Pelodiscus sinensis: one gene and its partner. The protein of the gene in region 1 binds, or shares a complex with, the protein of each later gene. Links are inferred from orthologs where the notes say so. Each region holds a gene or a part of one and is shown in the gene's direction. Other genes may lie near its edges.

Evidence for each region. Proteins that work in one complex are often made in the same cells at the same time.
Region 2: GTF2E2 (region 1) and POLR2G share a complex: the UniProt entries of both Homo sapiens proteins name them as parts of the TBP-based Pol II pre-initiation complex. The link is inferred for Pelodiscus sinensis from reciprocal best matches to the Homo sapiens genes GTF2E2 and POLR2G.

The regions. Positions count from the first base shown.
Region 1 is NC_134715.1:5,047,506-5,055,292, forward strand, and holds the start of GTF2E2 (transcription initiation factor IIE subunit beta), read left to right. Parts: upstream 1-4,604; 5' UTR 4,605-4,770; intron 4,771-7,787. UniProt on the Homo sapiens protein: Recruits TFIIH to the initiation complex and stimulates the RNA polymerase II C-terminal domain kinase and DNA-dependent ATPase activities of TFIIH. Both TFIIH and TFIIE are required for promoter clearance by RNA polymerase.
Region 2 is NC_134721.1:36,810,244-36,818,222, forward strand, and holds the start of POLR2G (DNA-directed RNA polymerase II subunit RPB7), read left to right. Parts: upstream 1-4,459; 5' UTR 4,460-4,662; coding exon 4,663-4,731; intron 4,732-4,820; coding exon 4,821-4,930; intron 4,931-5,228; coding exon 5,229-5,388; intron 5,389-6,986; coding exon 6,987-7,037; intron 7,038-7,128; coding exon 7,129-7,194; intron 7,195-7,452; coding exon 7,453-7,524; intron 7,525-7,790; coding exon 7,791-7,824; intron 7,825-7,979. UniProt on the Homo sapiens protein: Core component of RNA polymerase II (Pol II), a DNA-dependent RNA polymerase which synthesizes mRNA precursors and many functional non-coding RNAs using the four ribonucleoside triphosphates as substrates.

The DNA.
Region 1 (7,787 bases):
AGCGCTAAGCTGCTATGGGTGGCAGTTGGGCAAAACACAAAATGTGCATGGAAGGAAGGGATCCCCCAGGAGATAACTTGATCCCTTCTGGAGGGAAGGAGCCAACCCTGCTGCTGTTTCTTCCATCTCTGCCACCCAACCGTCTCTGCAGCTACAGCCAATCAAGGGACCAGGGAGCTGAGGCTGCTCCTGGCAGAAGGGAATCAGAAGAGGCAGCTCTACCTGGCCTTGGGAGGTGTCCTGTTCTGTGTCCAGGACCGTGTTCAGAGCAGCTCTCAGGAAGTGCATGTCCAGGTCTGGCTCTAGGGTGGGTTTCATGGTGCTGGCAAGGGAGAGGAGCTGATATTAGACTGTGCAGTGCAGGGGTCAGACTGTATCTGACCTCGGGAGGGAGCCTCTCCCCAAGGTCTCTTTGGGTATGTCTAAACTACATCCCTTTTTTGATAAAGGGATGTAAATTAGACATATTGAAATTGTAAATGAAGCCGGAATTTGAATTTCCTGTGCTTCATTTGCATAATGGCGGCCACAACTTTTTTTTTTGAAGCCACTTTTTGAAAAAAAAAAACGTGGCTAAGACAGGGATCTTTCGACAGAAATGCCTCGTTTCGAAAGATTCTGTAACCCTCAAAAAATGAGGTTAAATAAAATGTGACAAGAAAAAAAAGACAGTATACAAAGTTTGTGGTTAACAATAGGTAGATTTACACAGTAGATAGTAATGAGGTCACTTGCTTTTCAATTGTATGTATCATGTTAGTTCTGTTTAACAAATGTAATTGATTGATTATAATTGATCTTGGCTTTCACAACATCCTCTGCCAAGGAGTTCCACAGGTTGACTGAGTGTTCTGTGAAGAAGTACTTCCTTTTATTCGTTTTATTTTTAGAAACTTATTTTAGTGGCATGAGAATGAGGACTGACACTGAAAAAAGAGTCAGAAAAAGAAGTGCTCGGAAAGCTGAAATGAGTGTATTTCACTTTATAGTATTAAATAGTAAGCAGCATATTTTTAAAAACATAATCACGTTTTATCAGAGTGCAACCTCACTACAGTATCCTACTTTTGTTTTAAATAAAAGTATTTAAGTTTGTAGTTTAGCAATGTGACAATAAATGGAATTCTAAAGGAAACTAAATGTATTTCTAACTCAAATTGGTGATAGACATATAAAAGAGGGTGAAAACTGTTGTAGGAAGGAACAACAGTGATGCTATCTGACCTCTTTTCTTTGTAGATCAGTAAAACAGTTTTAAAATATGCCATACTGGTCCCAGCATTATGGATAAGGAATATCATCTTGGAAAAGTATTACACGGTGTAATAAAAGTTATTTTGGGAGTGAAGATTCTTTAGAAACCATGCTCTACTAGCTATGCCAAAACTTTTTTTGTATGGGGCTATCTCAGGTGATTGGATCTCTGCTGTATACAACTGCTCCAAACTGAAACTTGATGTACAAGATCTTATCTTCCCCTATTGAATGCAAGGACAGTCAGATTTCTTTTTAAACAAAACTTCCTTTCATACATTAATAACATTTTAGCTTCTTAAAACAGGGAATTTTAAAATATTGAAAAGATTTTACAGTATTTGTATTGTTTACTTTTTGCACTTCACTTAGATTGGTCAATTTTTGTTTATAGTCAGGTTCACTTAAACATAAGAATGGCCATGCTGGGTCAGAACAAAGGTCCATCTAGCCCAGAATTCTATCTTCCGATAGTGGCCAATGCCAGGTGCCCTAACGGGAATGAAAAGAACAGTTAATCATCAATTGATCCAATCCTAGGAATGCGTCTACACAACAACGCTGTTTCGGAATAATGGACGTTATTCCGAAATAACTTTGCGAGCGTCTACACAATTCTGTTATTTTGCAATATCAAAATGACGGGCGGCTTATTCTGGATTCTGTAAACCTCATTCCACAAGGAGTAATGCCTCTTTTGAAATAATTTTTTTTGGAATAGCAGTAGTGTGAACACTCCACTGCTGCTATTTCAAAATAGCTCCTCCCCCAGGCCCATTCAAAGTAATTACTCCCTAGTGCTTCCTGGGGCTCTACATTGAGGTAGTACATCCAGATTAGGGGAGCCTGCCCGAGACTAATTTTGAGGCTTCCCTGTAGTGTACATGCACAATCTCGAAATAAGCTATTTCAGAGTATTTCTTCCAAAATAGCTTATTCCAAAATAAGTGTGCCGTGTTGATGTAGCCTGTTTGCCCAGTCTCAGTTCCTAACAGAGGCTAGAGACACCATTCCTACCCATCTTGGCTAATAGCCATTGGTGGACCTATCTTCCATGAATTCATCTAGCTCTTTTTTGAACCCTGTTACAGATCTTGTACTTCACAACATCCTCTGCCAAGGAGTTCCACAGGATGATTGTGTGTTTTGTGAAGTACTTCCTTATGTTTGTTTTAACTTGCTACCTATTAAGAACTTTCTTCTTCCCCTGCATAAGCACAATATTTCAGCCTTTAGCTTTCACACATTACCAGAGGATGTTTAAATAAAAACAGGGAGTTAGTATTTTGGTTCTGAGTAAATGTAGACCATTTTCTTAAAGTATTACCGGTAAGACTTTTTGTAATAGAGGCTCCAGTAGTGAGTGATTCCATAAGTCAGGTTGAGTTGCACTTAGCATTTAAAGCAACTTCTCGTTATGCATAAAAAGTACAACATATTCTCCCCAAACTCACTACACTTAATATCTGAGTTTTTAGTGAATTTTCTAAGAATGTGCAAGTAAATTTTCTAATTAGAGTTAAAATTGTGCATTAAAATATTCCACATTTTACCAGTCTTCACTGTGACTTAAATTATGTTAATCATGGAATATAATATAGATTCTTCAAATTTTCCATATAGTTACAATTATAAAATATAGGAACATGAACTTTTGAATGAATCGATCAATTGTTATTAGTGGCCAGATTCACCAGTACAGTTCAGCTGCTTTTGGATGCTCAGCTGAATTGATTAATCTGTTCTTAAAACTAAAATATATGGGTTGACCCACTCTAGTCTGGCACTGTCTGGTCTGACAACATCCACAATCTGGCCTGATTTTTGTTATATGGATGGGTTATATGGATGGGCATAACCAAGTTTCCCACTGTCCCATAAAGTTTGTTTACAGTCACCAGCCTTGGCTGTCAGTGTTCTGTGCTGTTTAGTTCTAATTTATCCCTAAATGTCTTCTAAAACCCCAATAAACAGTGGGGCTACGTCTACACTGGCACCCTTTTCCAGAAATGCTTAAAACGGAACAGTTTTCCGTTATAAGTATTACCGGAAAAAGTGCGTCTACATTGGCAGGATGCTTTTCCAGAAAAGCACTTTTTCCGGAAAAGCGTCCGTGGCCAATGTAGACGCACTTTTCCGGAAAAAAGCCCCGATCGTCATTTTCGCAATCGAGGCTTTTTGCGGAAAAGACTACTGTGCTGTCTACACTGGCCCTTTTCTGGAACAGTTTTTCCAGAAAAGGACTTTTGCCCGAATGGGAGCAGCATAGTTTTTCCGGAAAAGCACTGACAATTTTACAGTAGATCGTCATTGCTTTTCCGGAAAAGCAAACGGCCAGTGCAGACAGCTTTCAAGTTATTCTGGAAAAGCGGCTGCTTTTCTGGAATAAGTGGCCCAGTGTAGACACAGCCTGGAAGTGTTGGTCATGCTGCTAGACAATACTGACCTTCTATCAGATCCTAAGGGTGCTGGACTAGAGCCACTCAACCCGTATTAAGATTACCTTTACTTATCCTCAAATCATTGGAAATATTGTTAGTGCTTTCAATGGGCTGCTTGTTTCGTACTTATATAGGAACATTTAAAACAAAACAAAAATCCAGACCATACCCTTTCTCTTCTCTCTCCCCCTCCTCCCCCCAAACAAATACTTTCTACATGTTTTCAAGTATCAGAGGGGTAGCCGTGTTAGTCTGAATCTGCAAAAGCGGAGAGGAGTCCTGTGGCACCTTATAGACTAACTGAAGTGTTGGAGCATAAGCTTTCGTGCATCTGAGGAAGTGGGTCTTTGCCCACGAAAGCTTATGCTCCTACACTTCTGTTAGTCTATAAGGTGCCTCAGGACTCCTCGCCGCTTTCTACATGTTCTGTAAGTTTACAAAGTGCTACCAGACTATTGGTTGTTTTTTCAGTTTACCTTCTATTGTGATTGTTTTGGTCTGGGGGTTTAAATAAAAGCTCAAATGCTTGGCTCGAGCAAAGCTGCCCTTACAATGGGTCACCAGGAGGGGCGTGCAATTCAGGGCATCACAGCAACAGCTAAGACAAATTTAGGAGCTATGATGAGACTTCAGGTACAAATGGATAAGAGACTTTTAAATCCTCCCGGGGGTTACAGGCTGGCTCCCTCCCGCGCTGCATGGCCTGGGGGAGACGCTTAGGGCATTGCGGCTCCTGTGCTGCTGGTACGAGTCCCCCCTCCGCCCCCAGCCCGGCTTTGCACAATCCACACGGGGCTCCCTTGCAGCCCCTGCTCTGCCGCTCGCTACAGTTAATTGACGCGCCGCGAGCCACGTGCGGGCCGAGGGAGGGCAGCGGCTCTCACGGCGCCTGCGCAGTTCCAGTGCGCACCGCGCAGGCTCCCTGCGCCCCACGTATGGCGTTCTGAGCTGACGCTGTACCCGGCCGCTGGGCCAATAGGAGCGCAGCAGCCGCCGAAGCCAGCGTCGTCCCCCCCTCCTCCTGCTCCCCCGTGCCCCCCGCCCGCCTTCCCGCGTCGGGCGGCCTCGCGCGCCGGTGAGTTCTCGGGCGCGAGCGGGGCGGTTGGAGCGGGGCAGCCTGGGAGCGCGAGGGCGCCCCCCTCCCACCCCGAGCTGCGTAGGCGGATGGGTCCCGTGTCTGCCCCTCCCCCCCCGAGCTGCGTGAGCCGGGGGGGGGTCCCGAGTCTGCCCCCCTCGAGCTGCGTGAGCCGGGGGGGGGTCCCGTGTCTGCCCCTCCCCCACGAGCTGCGTGAGCCGGGGGGGGGGGGGTCCCGTGTCTGCCCCTCCCCCACGAGCTGCGTGAGCCGGGGGGGGGGGTCCCGTGTCTGCCCCTCCCCCACGAGCTGCGTGAGCCGGGGGGGGTCCCGTGTCTGCCCCTCCCCCCCGAGCTGTGTGAGCCGGGGGGGGGTCCCGAGTCTGCCCCTCCCCCACGAGCTGCGTGAGCCGGGGGGGGGTCCCGTGTCTGCCCCTCCCCCACGAGCTGCGTGAGCCGGGGGGGGGGGGGTCCCGTGTCTGCCCCTCCCCCACGAGCTGCGTGAGCCGGGGGGGGTCCCGTGTCTGCCCCTCCCCCCCGAGCTGTGTGAGCCGGGGGGGGTCCCGAGTCTGCCCCCCTCGAGCTGCGTGAGCCGGGGGGGGTCCCGAGTCTGCCCCCCTCGAGCTGCGTGAGCCGGGGGGGGGTCCCGTGTCTGCCCCCCTCGAGCTGCGTGAGCCGGGGGGGGGGTCCCGTGTCTGCCCCCCTCGAGCTGCGTGAGCCGGGGGGGGGGTCCCGTGTCTGCCCCCCTCGAGCTGCGTGGGCCAGGTGTCCTGCTTTCTAACCCCCCCATTGCATTGGTTGGGGGGTTCCCTCCCCCACCAGCGCTGCACTCCATGGCTCGGGAGAGTCTCTCTCTTGCCACCGAGCAGCAGGGGGGTCCCTGCCTTCTCACCTGCCCCTACACAGCTGCGGGGGCCACAGGGGGTCCCTCCTTTCCCCCTCTTGCACAGAGGCGACTAGGCCCGCCAAGAGCTTCCTTGCACCACCCCCGCTGCCCCCAGCTGCATATTCCCAAGGAGAGCCCTTCCTTCCCCTCCTCCCCCAAGGGTTGCAGGGCCCAAGGAGAGCCCTTCCTTCCCCTCCTCCCCCAAGAGTTGCAGGGGCCCAAGGGGATCCCCCTTTCGCCACTCACTCACAGTCAGAATTAGTTACATTGAGTCAAGCTGTTGTGCAGAACTGGCCCCAGGGATGCTGTAGTCCTGTCTCGACAGCTCTAATAGAAAACAACAGCAGGGCTCATGGGTTTGCTACTTATTGCCAAGTGTCACTCAAACCAGAGGAGCTAGAATAATTTTTATAATGTGGGTGCTGAGAACCATTGACTTTAACTGTAAGTCCTGTGTAGATATAATGGAAACCACTTCCGTACCCTCTACTTCCAACATCTGATTCGATCATCATGTTCCTATCCGAGTCTCTCACCAAGTCCATGGCTTCTTCCTGTAGTGGTGGCTTGCTCAAGTGTTGTGACAGTAGACAAGTGATTAAACTGATGGTGTCCTGTGTAATTATCCATGAGCACTAGCAAGGGGGAAGCACAGAGTGTAGGGAGTCCCCTATCTATCCTTGGTAACCTATAGCATAAGGTAACGAGGTGCTATTCCATACCATTGACATCTTGAGTCCTATAGGGGTCTTGGTTATTTAGACTGGGACTTGGGCGTCTAGTAACATTTTCCAGTTGTATGGGACCATGGGAAACATGGCCACACTCATGATGAGTGGACATCGAGCTAACTAAAATCATACCAGACCAGAGAGTACTAGAATAGGTTCAAGCTGTACACATTTCAGGAAGGCCAGGGAACCTTCCTCTCCCCACCCTCCAATCCAGTCACGCACACACCTAGGTGTGCAGAGGAAGGGAGGTGGGTGTGCATCTCTCCCTCCAAAGTCTATGCATCCGCAGTTTATAGATAGCAAGTTGCTAATATAGTTGTAAAATATCCTTTGTCTTTTGTAAAGGTCCTAGAATGGGGCAGTGGCACATGAACTATACTTGTCTTTGTTGTAAGATATTTTCTACTGTTTGTTTATTCATATTCCCATAATGCTTAGCAGCCCTAATCATTGAGCAGAAGCCTATTGTGCTAGATGCTGTACAAATAGAAGAAAAAACAGTCGGTACCCCCAAAGAGCTTCCTTTCCAACCTTACTAACAATTTAAATAATCAAGCAGAAACCTGGATGTAATTCAGTTTTCGTTGTCCATTTGTACTTTTAGTTATTTTCCCAAAGAAAAGTTGATTTTCCGTTTACACTAGATGTGGTGCTGCTTATTGCTAACTAGGGGTATATGGTGTAGCTATTTACATTTAAGCACTTATATAGCTTGATTTACATTTAGTTCACATTTTTAGTTTTTACATTTTGATTGTTAGAAAATCATGAATGATACATTTATTGTTTTACAAGATGATTATTTTTTTATTATTTGTGCCAAGCTCTATTGGCAAGGAAATTCACATTTAAATTAAAGTGCATTAAGTGGAAATAGCATTTTAAATTGTCCGAAGTGCTGAATTCATAAAAAATTAAATTTTCTCAACATGTTTTGTATTTAAAAGTAACTAATATATTAAAGGAAGTTGTCTGTAGTTTATGCATTGACTTGTGATCAGTTCTGGTCACCATGTCCTTGTAGAACCAGTACATCCCATCCTCTCACACTTTGCTTTCCTTTTTCAGTCTATAAATAAAAACTAGCTTTTATTCAGCTTCAATTCCCATTTGATTTATTAACATTGAATAGACTAGTAATTGAACTGAACTAGTTGAATAAATTGACATAAAGATAGATTTTTTTTTTTGCGCCTGTATCAAAGACTATTACTGTCAAAATCTGGTTTAGCAGTTCAGCAAACTTTGCTTCCAGCTGCTTAACCAGTGACTTTCACTGTTGCAGTGGTTAGACTTTCTTTAAATAATTTGCTGGTTAATATTATTTTTGTATTTAATTTAAATGATTGTAATAAGTTTATTGCTTAACATTGTCATCTTCAAATGTAATTGTAAATGTT
Region 2 (7,979 bases), on another chromosome or scaffold:
AGAGGATGTGGGAGTTGGGTGAGAGACAGGGTTGTGACCTGGGGCAGGGTCTTGCAGTGCAGGATCTGGGAGCAGGTATGGGTGCAAAAGAGGATTCTGGCCTGGAGAAGGGGTATGGGAGGGGATGCAGAGTCTGGGAGGGAGCTGTGACCTGGGGAAAGGGTGTGCAGAGGGTTTGGATGGTGATCTGGGGCAGATTGTGTGCAGGGGGAGGGGCTGGGGTGCCAGAGGCAGGCTCTGGCTGGGAGGCACTTACCTAGGTGGCTCCTAGTCAGCAGCCCTGCAAGAAACTGAGGCAGCCTCACTGCCGTCTGCTGCAATCCCTGGTTACGTCATGTGGCTCTGTTCTGGTGCTGAGGGGAAGAGGAAGGCTTCACATGTTGCCACTGCTCCCAAAATTTCTCAGATCCTGCTGGCCAGAAACTAGCCAATGGGAACTGAGAGGTTTTGCAGGGGAGCAGGAGCAGAGCGCAAAGCTTCCCCATCCCTGTTCAGCATCCAGAACAGAGAACAGCCAGCTGCTTAAAGCATCATGAGTGGTTCTGTACTTAGGATCCTAGCAAGGGAGCCATGGGCTGGATCTTCCCCACCCCTGTGCTTCTGTGTACTGGGAAGTGGTGGTTGGGGATTTGGTAGAGAGTGGGGTGTGCTGGCAGAGGGAAGGGTAGTGGAAAGCTGGGACATACTGGCGTAAGCACCCTTTGAGCTTGGCTCCCAGGAGTGTTGATCAGGGATTTGATACAGGGGGTCTCATGGCCCCTTTGATGGTGAATTGGAAAACGATGGAGGAACTGAGGTCTTCTACTCACAGGGGGGAATCTCTGACAGGGAATTGGGGGAGGAACTACAGGGCCCCCTCCCAGATTGGGGCAGGGGAATAGGCTGCACAAGGCTGGGGCGGGAGCTGCTGACTCAGGCACATGTGTTCCTTGCTTTCCAGAGTTTATTTTTGTACCTGACTACCTAATAAAACAGGATTTCGTATAACTCGCCTCCTGTCAATCACTCTTTGCCCCACCCTTCACTGTTTTTGTGCTCCTCTCTCACCTGCCAGAGCCAGAGCGCCCCGTGAAGTCCTCTGGCCAGTGCAGCTATACAATGAGCACTGAGGAACGCGTGTGCACAGAACTACAGGTTAGTTTCTCTGAAGGACAGGTGTAGAAACATGAACAGCATCCCTCCAATTTTGCTTCTGGTAGCGGTAATAGTATGTCACTATTTGCTTAGCCAGCATCATTTGCCACTTCACATCCTCTCATCCAGGGGCAGCAAATTCAGAGGAATAAGCAACAAGCATAGCTGTCACCAGTCCAGAGGTGCTGTTCACATCCCCTGGTCCAGAGGTAGCAAATTTGAAGGGATGAGGTTTGCCTTGACTTAATACACATACACACATTTTGGCTACGTCTACACTGGCCCCTTCTTCGGAAGAGGCATGCTAATTTCTAACTTTGGAATAGGGAAATCCGCGGGGGATTTAAATATCCCCCGCGGGATTTAAATAAACATGTCCGCCGCTTTTTTTCCGGCTTGGGGAAAAGCCGGAAAAGAGCGTCCAGACTGGCGCGAGCCTCCGGAATAAAGCCCTTTTCCGGAGGATCTCTTATTCCTACCTGAAGTTACCTGAAGTAGGAATAAGAGATCCTCCGGAAAAGGGCTTTATTCCAGAGGCTCGCGCCAGTCTGGACGCTCTTTTCCGGCTTTTCCCCAAGCTGGAAAAAAAGCGGCGGACATGTTTATTTAAATCCCGCGGGGGATATTTAAATCCCCCGCGGATTTCCCTATTCCAAAGTTAGAAATTAGCATGCCTCTTCCGAAGAAGGGGCCAGTGTAGACGTAGCCTTTTTGTAATTTGAAAAGCTATATTATTATAAATTGGTGTATAAACCAAAACAATTTGCTTTTTGTTCCAAGATGTTTTCAAAAGCAAGCATTCACTCTTCTGCATAGATTCTAGGGATGTAAAATTTTGATTATTTGGCTAATTGAATAGTCGATACAAATTGACTATTTGATTAGCAAAATAATCGAAATGAATTGTTGAAAACAAGACAGGAAATTAGTCACATGACAAGTTACCAGCTCTGCCTGTTAATTTGGGTATGCTCATTTATTAGGGTTACTCTTCTGGGAAGAGGGGGTTGATAACTCTATCAATATGCTGCTTAAATGGAACTGATGCAGAATTTGGATCCAAGCATCAGAACCCTTTCTTGAGCCTGGGTAGAGATTTGTTTTTTGTTGTTGTTTTGTTTTTTAAATTAACGCAGGCTGTAGGTTTTTCTGTGCCTTAGATGGACATCATAATACAATTAAGCAGCTTCAGTACAAACTGAACCTCTCTACTCTGGCACTCTCTGGTCCAGCAACATCCAGGTCCAGTATGATTTTATTTGCCAGATGTCTACTTGTGGATGTGGCCAGTTGCCCATGGTCCCATAGTTTGTTTACAGCCACCAGTCCAAGGGTGATGGAGGTTCAACCTATATTTTGGATACCAATAAAATGCTTGTTACTATAATTGGTCTGACAATTACTTATCTGGGTGCATGTAGGCATGAGTTCATTAGCAATTGAAACAGGAATGTCCATCAGGCAATGCTTCTATTCTTTTTGGGTCCCGGAGTTCAATGCAGTTCTTGCCTTGGACTTTCTGGTTTCCATTGTATATATTAAGGAAGTGATGCACATGAGTCTAGGGGAGCTTTCAGAGGGGTTTAGATCTATCTTCTCTTGCCTTTTCATTGCATTTTCCAAGTCTTTTGATCAGCTTTGGTGCAAGCAGAGACTGGGGGTGGGAGCGGGGGAAAAGGTCTTTAATGGGTCAGACAGACTATGCCCTCATTCTCTAAGAACAAAGAGCTGGTAGGTAACAGACCCAGCAGAAATCTACTTTTTTCTTTTTATAGCACAAGTTTAATAAAAACCTCTAAGTTACAAATCAAAGTACAAAACATATAGCAAGTGCTATAATAGCAACGAGGAGTCCTGTGGCACCTTATAATAGAAACACAGATAAAATTGCTAAAACCAGTAACTACTATTTACTTCAAAGTTTTCAGCATTAGCTATTAAAATAAAAACAAACAGGGTTTTTGACATGCATTGCACAATGATAGTATAGGTAAATGATGAAGTGTTCAGAGTAAAGGAAATAACATTTGCAAAGGAACAAATGGGTTGCAAGGACGGGAGCGCAATTCAAACACTTGCAGCAGCAAATAAGACACAAATTTATGAACTGTAATGAGACTTCATGTTGACGTATACATTGATAAGAGATAGAAATGTAGCCGTGTTAGTCTGGTGTAGCTGAAACAAAATACAGGACTATGTAGCACTTTAAAGACTAACAAGATGGCTTATTAGATGATGAGCTTTCGTGGGCCAGACCCACTTCATCTAATAAACCATCTTGTTAGTCTTTAAAGTGCTACATAGTCCTATACATTGATAAGAGACATTTAAATACTCAAAATGTGTTACACACTCCCTCAGACTCTGCATGTCTGATATTTTACAGCATCCAGACTCCTGAACATGCAGCAGTGTAGTTAGAGAGTCGCTTTGAAGGTCTACCAGTGAGAGCCAATGAATTAGGACAGTTGTAACTTTCAGAACACAGCGAGGAATCTGCCTTGTTCTCCAGCACAGGTACATAGTATCCTGAAAGGGAAAATAACCCCCCATTTCTATACTCCCATCCCTGTCTTTGCACACTGAGTATGTGGCTCATCCCACCCGGATAAGTATTAATCCCCTTTCCCCCCCCGCCCCTCCGGGACTGGCAGTATCTGTTCCCTAAGCTAAACCCCTGTTCCTACGCCCCTTCCTTTTTCCCCTCCAGCCACTCTTCTGCCTCACCCTGGTCAATGTATTTCTGTACCCTGCTCAGACCCTGCCCATCCCCGCGCGGCAATTTGCCCCCTTTGTAACTCCCTGCCAAAAGCAGCCGGCAGAACGCATAAAGTGAGGGCAGGGAGAAGGGCAGTGGCGCCAGCGGAGCTAACTGAGCATGCTCAGTACACGCGAAGCTGCACATTCCGACAGGAAGCAGAGTCTGAATCCCTGTGAGGGCCGCAGCAACAGCAGCTGTTACTGAGCATGCTCAGTTCGGGTGCGCATGCTCAGTACACCTGTGTGTCGCAGGCCAGTGAGGAAGGAGCCTGGGTGGGTGGGGATAACTGCGGGTTGCTTCCGGTCCCGGCCTCTTGGAAGATGTTTTACCACGTGAGTGACGGTCTCCGCCCAGGAGATCTATTGGGGAGTAGCTGCCCCCCCACCAGGCCCCAGCCATGCCCCGCCAGTGCCTGGACAGCCTTTCTCCCCCACTCCCCCGGCGGCCAGCCTCTCCCCATGACAGGGGTCTGGGCAATCTTCTCCCCCTTCTGGGGGCCAGCTGCCCCCCCCCCCCGCCAGAGCCTGGGCAATCCTTCCCCTGAGGCTCAGCTGTGCTTGTAGCCCTTTCACCCCAGAATCAGTTGCTCCTCGACTCCCCCCTCCAAACAACCCACCCCCAAGTGCATCAGCTGCCTCCTCCTTCCTGTCCCCCTTTGCAGTCCCAGAATGCATTACTGGCTCTGCCCCCACGGGGATTCTCTCCAGGGCCCCAGCATGCACCATTCCCTGTGCTCCAGGGGGAACCTTCCCCCAAATTGAGGGATGTCAGCTGCCACTGTTCCCTCTGCCCCAGGGGCACTGAGGTTCTGCCCCATCATTTACTGCCATGAGGTGGGGAAGGAAGGGAGGGAGGGGTTGGCTGAGGATTGCCTCCTTTCCCCTCTTAGTGACAGGTCTCTCCTTTTTCCCCTTTTTCATAGATCTCCCTGGAGCATGAGATCCTGCTGCATCCACGCTACTTTGGGCCCAATCTTCTTAACACTGTCAAGCAGAAGCTGTTCACAGAGGTGGAGGGGACCTGCACTGGCAAGTGAGTAGGGGCAGGAGAGTCTGGAGGGACAGGTCTGTGCGGGGTTGAGATGGAGGTAACAAGGCTGGGGGAGATGGGAATGTATTTGGAGGGTTTGGGAAGCAGTGGGGTGGTGGGTTGGAGATCCAGGACAGGTGCAGATTCATGGAAGGAAGGGGATAGGGTTGCTGTTTTGGAGGGACCGGAAGAACCTAGCCCCTGGTGGTGAATGGGGGAAGTCCCCTCTATTGCAGCTCATTCTTTGTCCTGTTCTCTGCCTGTGAATTCTCTAACAGAGCTGGTTCCCACTCTCCCCCAGATATGGCTTTGTCATTGCAGTCACTACCATAGACAACATTGGGGCAGGTGTCATCCAGCCGGGTCGTGGCTTCGTGCTCTACCCTGTCAAGTACAAGGCCATTGTCTTCCGGCCCTTCAAGGGAGAGGTGGTGGATGCTGTGGTGACACAGGTCAACAAGGTAAGCCATTGCTGCAGGGGTGGGGTGCATTTGTATGAATTTGTGGAGTATATAATGAGAGGACCATTATATCATCTCCTCTGCCCTCCTGTATAACACAGGCCAGAGAAGTCACCCAGACACCCCTGCATTGAATCCAATTACTTGAGTCCTGTGGTAACTCAAAAGTTGAGAGCCCCGGGCAGAGAACAGGAGAGACCAAACAGTTACCAGTGCCCCTCCGAGGACCCAGAGTGGCAGGGAATTGACTTGGCAAGATATGCCCAGATGATTTGAGCAAGTGATTTACATGCGCAGGTCTGTAAGGGAAAGCAAGATGCTCCAAAGGTCCATGTCAGTCTGAGTTGGAGGGGAAAATTCCTTCCTGACTCGTCTGGCAATTTGAGCATGGTGCCCAAGCCAGGCATTTAGGAAGAGGGTTCTCTGGACCATCTCAGAGTCCTGGCCCACTATGCCCAGTGTTCCATTTCCAGCAGTGGCCAGTCTCTGCTGTTTCAGAGGAAAGTGCAGTGGGGAACCCAGCCTAACACAGATTGTGCATTTGGAGGAAACTATTCCTTCCTGATTTCTGCTGAAGCTCTGAAGCATGAGATCAGATTATAGCCATTGTCATAACGCTGAGCTACAATGGTTGTGTCAATGCAAACAATCCTGTTCTCTTCAAGGCCGGTGAAGGAAAGGGTGATTCATGTAGCTAAACCTGTGGGTGGATCCCTAGCTTGGGACTATGCGGTGTCCTTGTACCAAGGATGTAGGAACCCCAAAGCAGCTCTGGGAGGAATGTGCGAAGGCTGTTCTGTCTGACTAGTATCTGAGTCCCAGGGTGTGAGCAGTGGCTGTCTTGGGGCTGGAGAGGGTGTAGCTATTGATGAGGGAACAGGATAACCTCCATGTGTACAGGCAGTCCCTGAGTTACGCGGATCCGACTTATGTCAGATCCGCACTTACGAATGGGGCTTTCTCGCCCCGGAGCTCGCAGGCAGCGGGACCGGCCAGAGCGCAGCGGTCCTGCCACCTCGACCTCCGGGGTGAGAAAAGCTGCTCCGGGTGCCCCTGGTCTGCTGGGGACCGTCTCCAGCAGACCAGGGACACCGGGAGCAAAGCCGCAGTGGCGGTGGGGTCCCGCGCCTCTGAGGCTTTGCCAGAGCAAAGCCTCAGAGGCACGGGACCCCGCCACCGCTGCGGCTTTGCTCCCCATGTCCCTGGTCTGCTGGGGGGGAGAGAGGGCGCAGCTAGTGCCCCCTCCCCCCCAGCAGACCAGGCTTTTGTTGTGGACCCTGGGGTAGAGCAGCTGGGGTGCTGCCGGGTTGGTCCTGCAGGGACCTACCTGGCAGCCCAGCTGTTCTGTCCCAGGCTCAAGATTCAGCTGCTGTTGAAACTGATCAGTGGCTGATTCCAGGAAGCTGGGGGCAGAGCAATTCTGCCTCCAGCTTCCTGTAGTCAGCCCCTGGTCAGTTTCAGCAGCAGCGGCTGAATCTGGAGCCAGTTCCGACTTGCATACAAATTCAACTTAAGAACAAACCTATAGTTCCTATCTTGTACGTAACCCAGGGACTGCCTGTATATGCTAATGGAATCACTGCTTCTGCTTCCTATAGGTTGGACTCTTCACCGAAATTGGGCCCATGTCCTGTTTCATATCTCGACACGTAAGCACAGTGCTGGGGAGAGGCAGCTTTGGGAGCAGGTAGGGTGATATATGGAGAGCTCCTTTTTCACTGACTCTTGTTCTCTTCTCAGTCCATTCCCTCCGAGATGGAATTTGACCCAAACTCCAACCCTCCCTGCTACAAGACAGTGGATGAGGTGAGTCCTGGGTAGATGGTGTTTTGAGGGGAGCTTGTGGTGTAATGGGGGTGCGTGGAGAGGGAGAGAGACTCAGCTGGGGACAAGGGAGATGCTGGAACAGGCTCATGGGTGGTGGGGAGAATTTTACTTCCTCCATATCAGACACGCTTTATTTGCTGGAGTTATGTGCAACTCTGTGTTTAGCCTTTTTGGCCTCTGCCTGAGAAAAGGAGGAAGTTTGTAAATGGGTCTCACTCTAGTGCTGCATGTCTCTAGGACATCGTGATCCAGCAGGATGATGAGATCCGGCTGAAAATCGTGGGGACCAGAGTGGATAAGAATGACATTGTGAGTCTTTGGTGCCTCTTTCAAATATGGTGCATGCACGCGTGTAGATCCACAGCTCTCAGCATGGAACTGGGGGCAGGAACTCATGGCTAATCCAGCCCTAGCCTCTCCCAGCAAGGAAGAGGGAGCAGAGCAAGAGGGCTAGGTCATTCATTCCCAGCCTCTTCCAGCAGGGGGTGCTAAAATACTGGGGATGAGCAGCCCTGCTCAGGTAGAGGCAACTCACCGTCTCTGTTTCAACACTAATCTCTGTGTTTGGTTTGCAGTTTGCAATCGGTTCCCTTATGGATGATTATCTGGGTAAGTCTCCTCTCTAGGGTCGGGAGGGAGTAACTAGATGGGCTGAGCTGGCTGAGTTCACATTGGGTTTGGGTGGCGTGAGTCTCTGCTGTAGAGTGCTTGACATGTGTCCTGGGAACAGTGTGGGCATTTCCCCTCTGTGATGGGCTAATGGT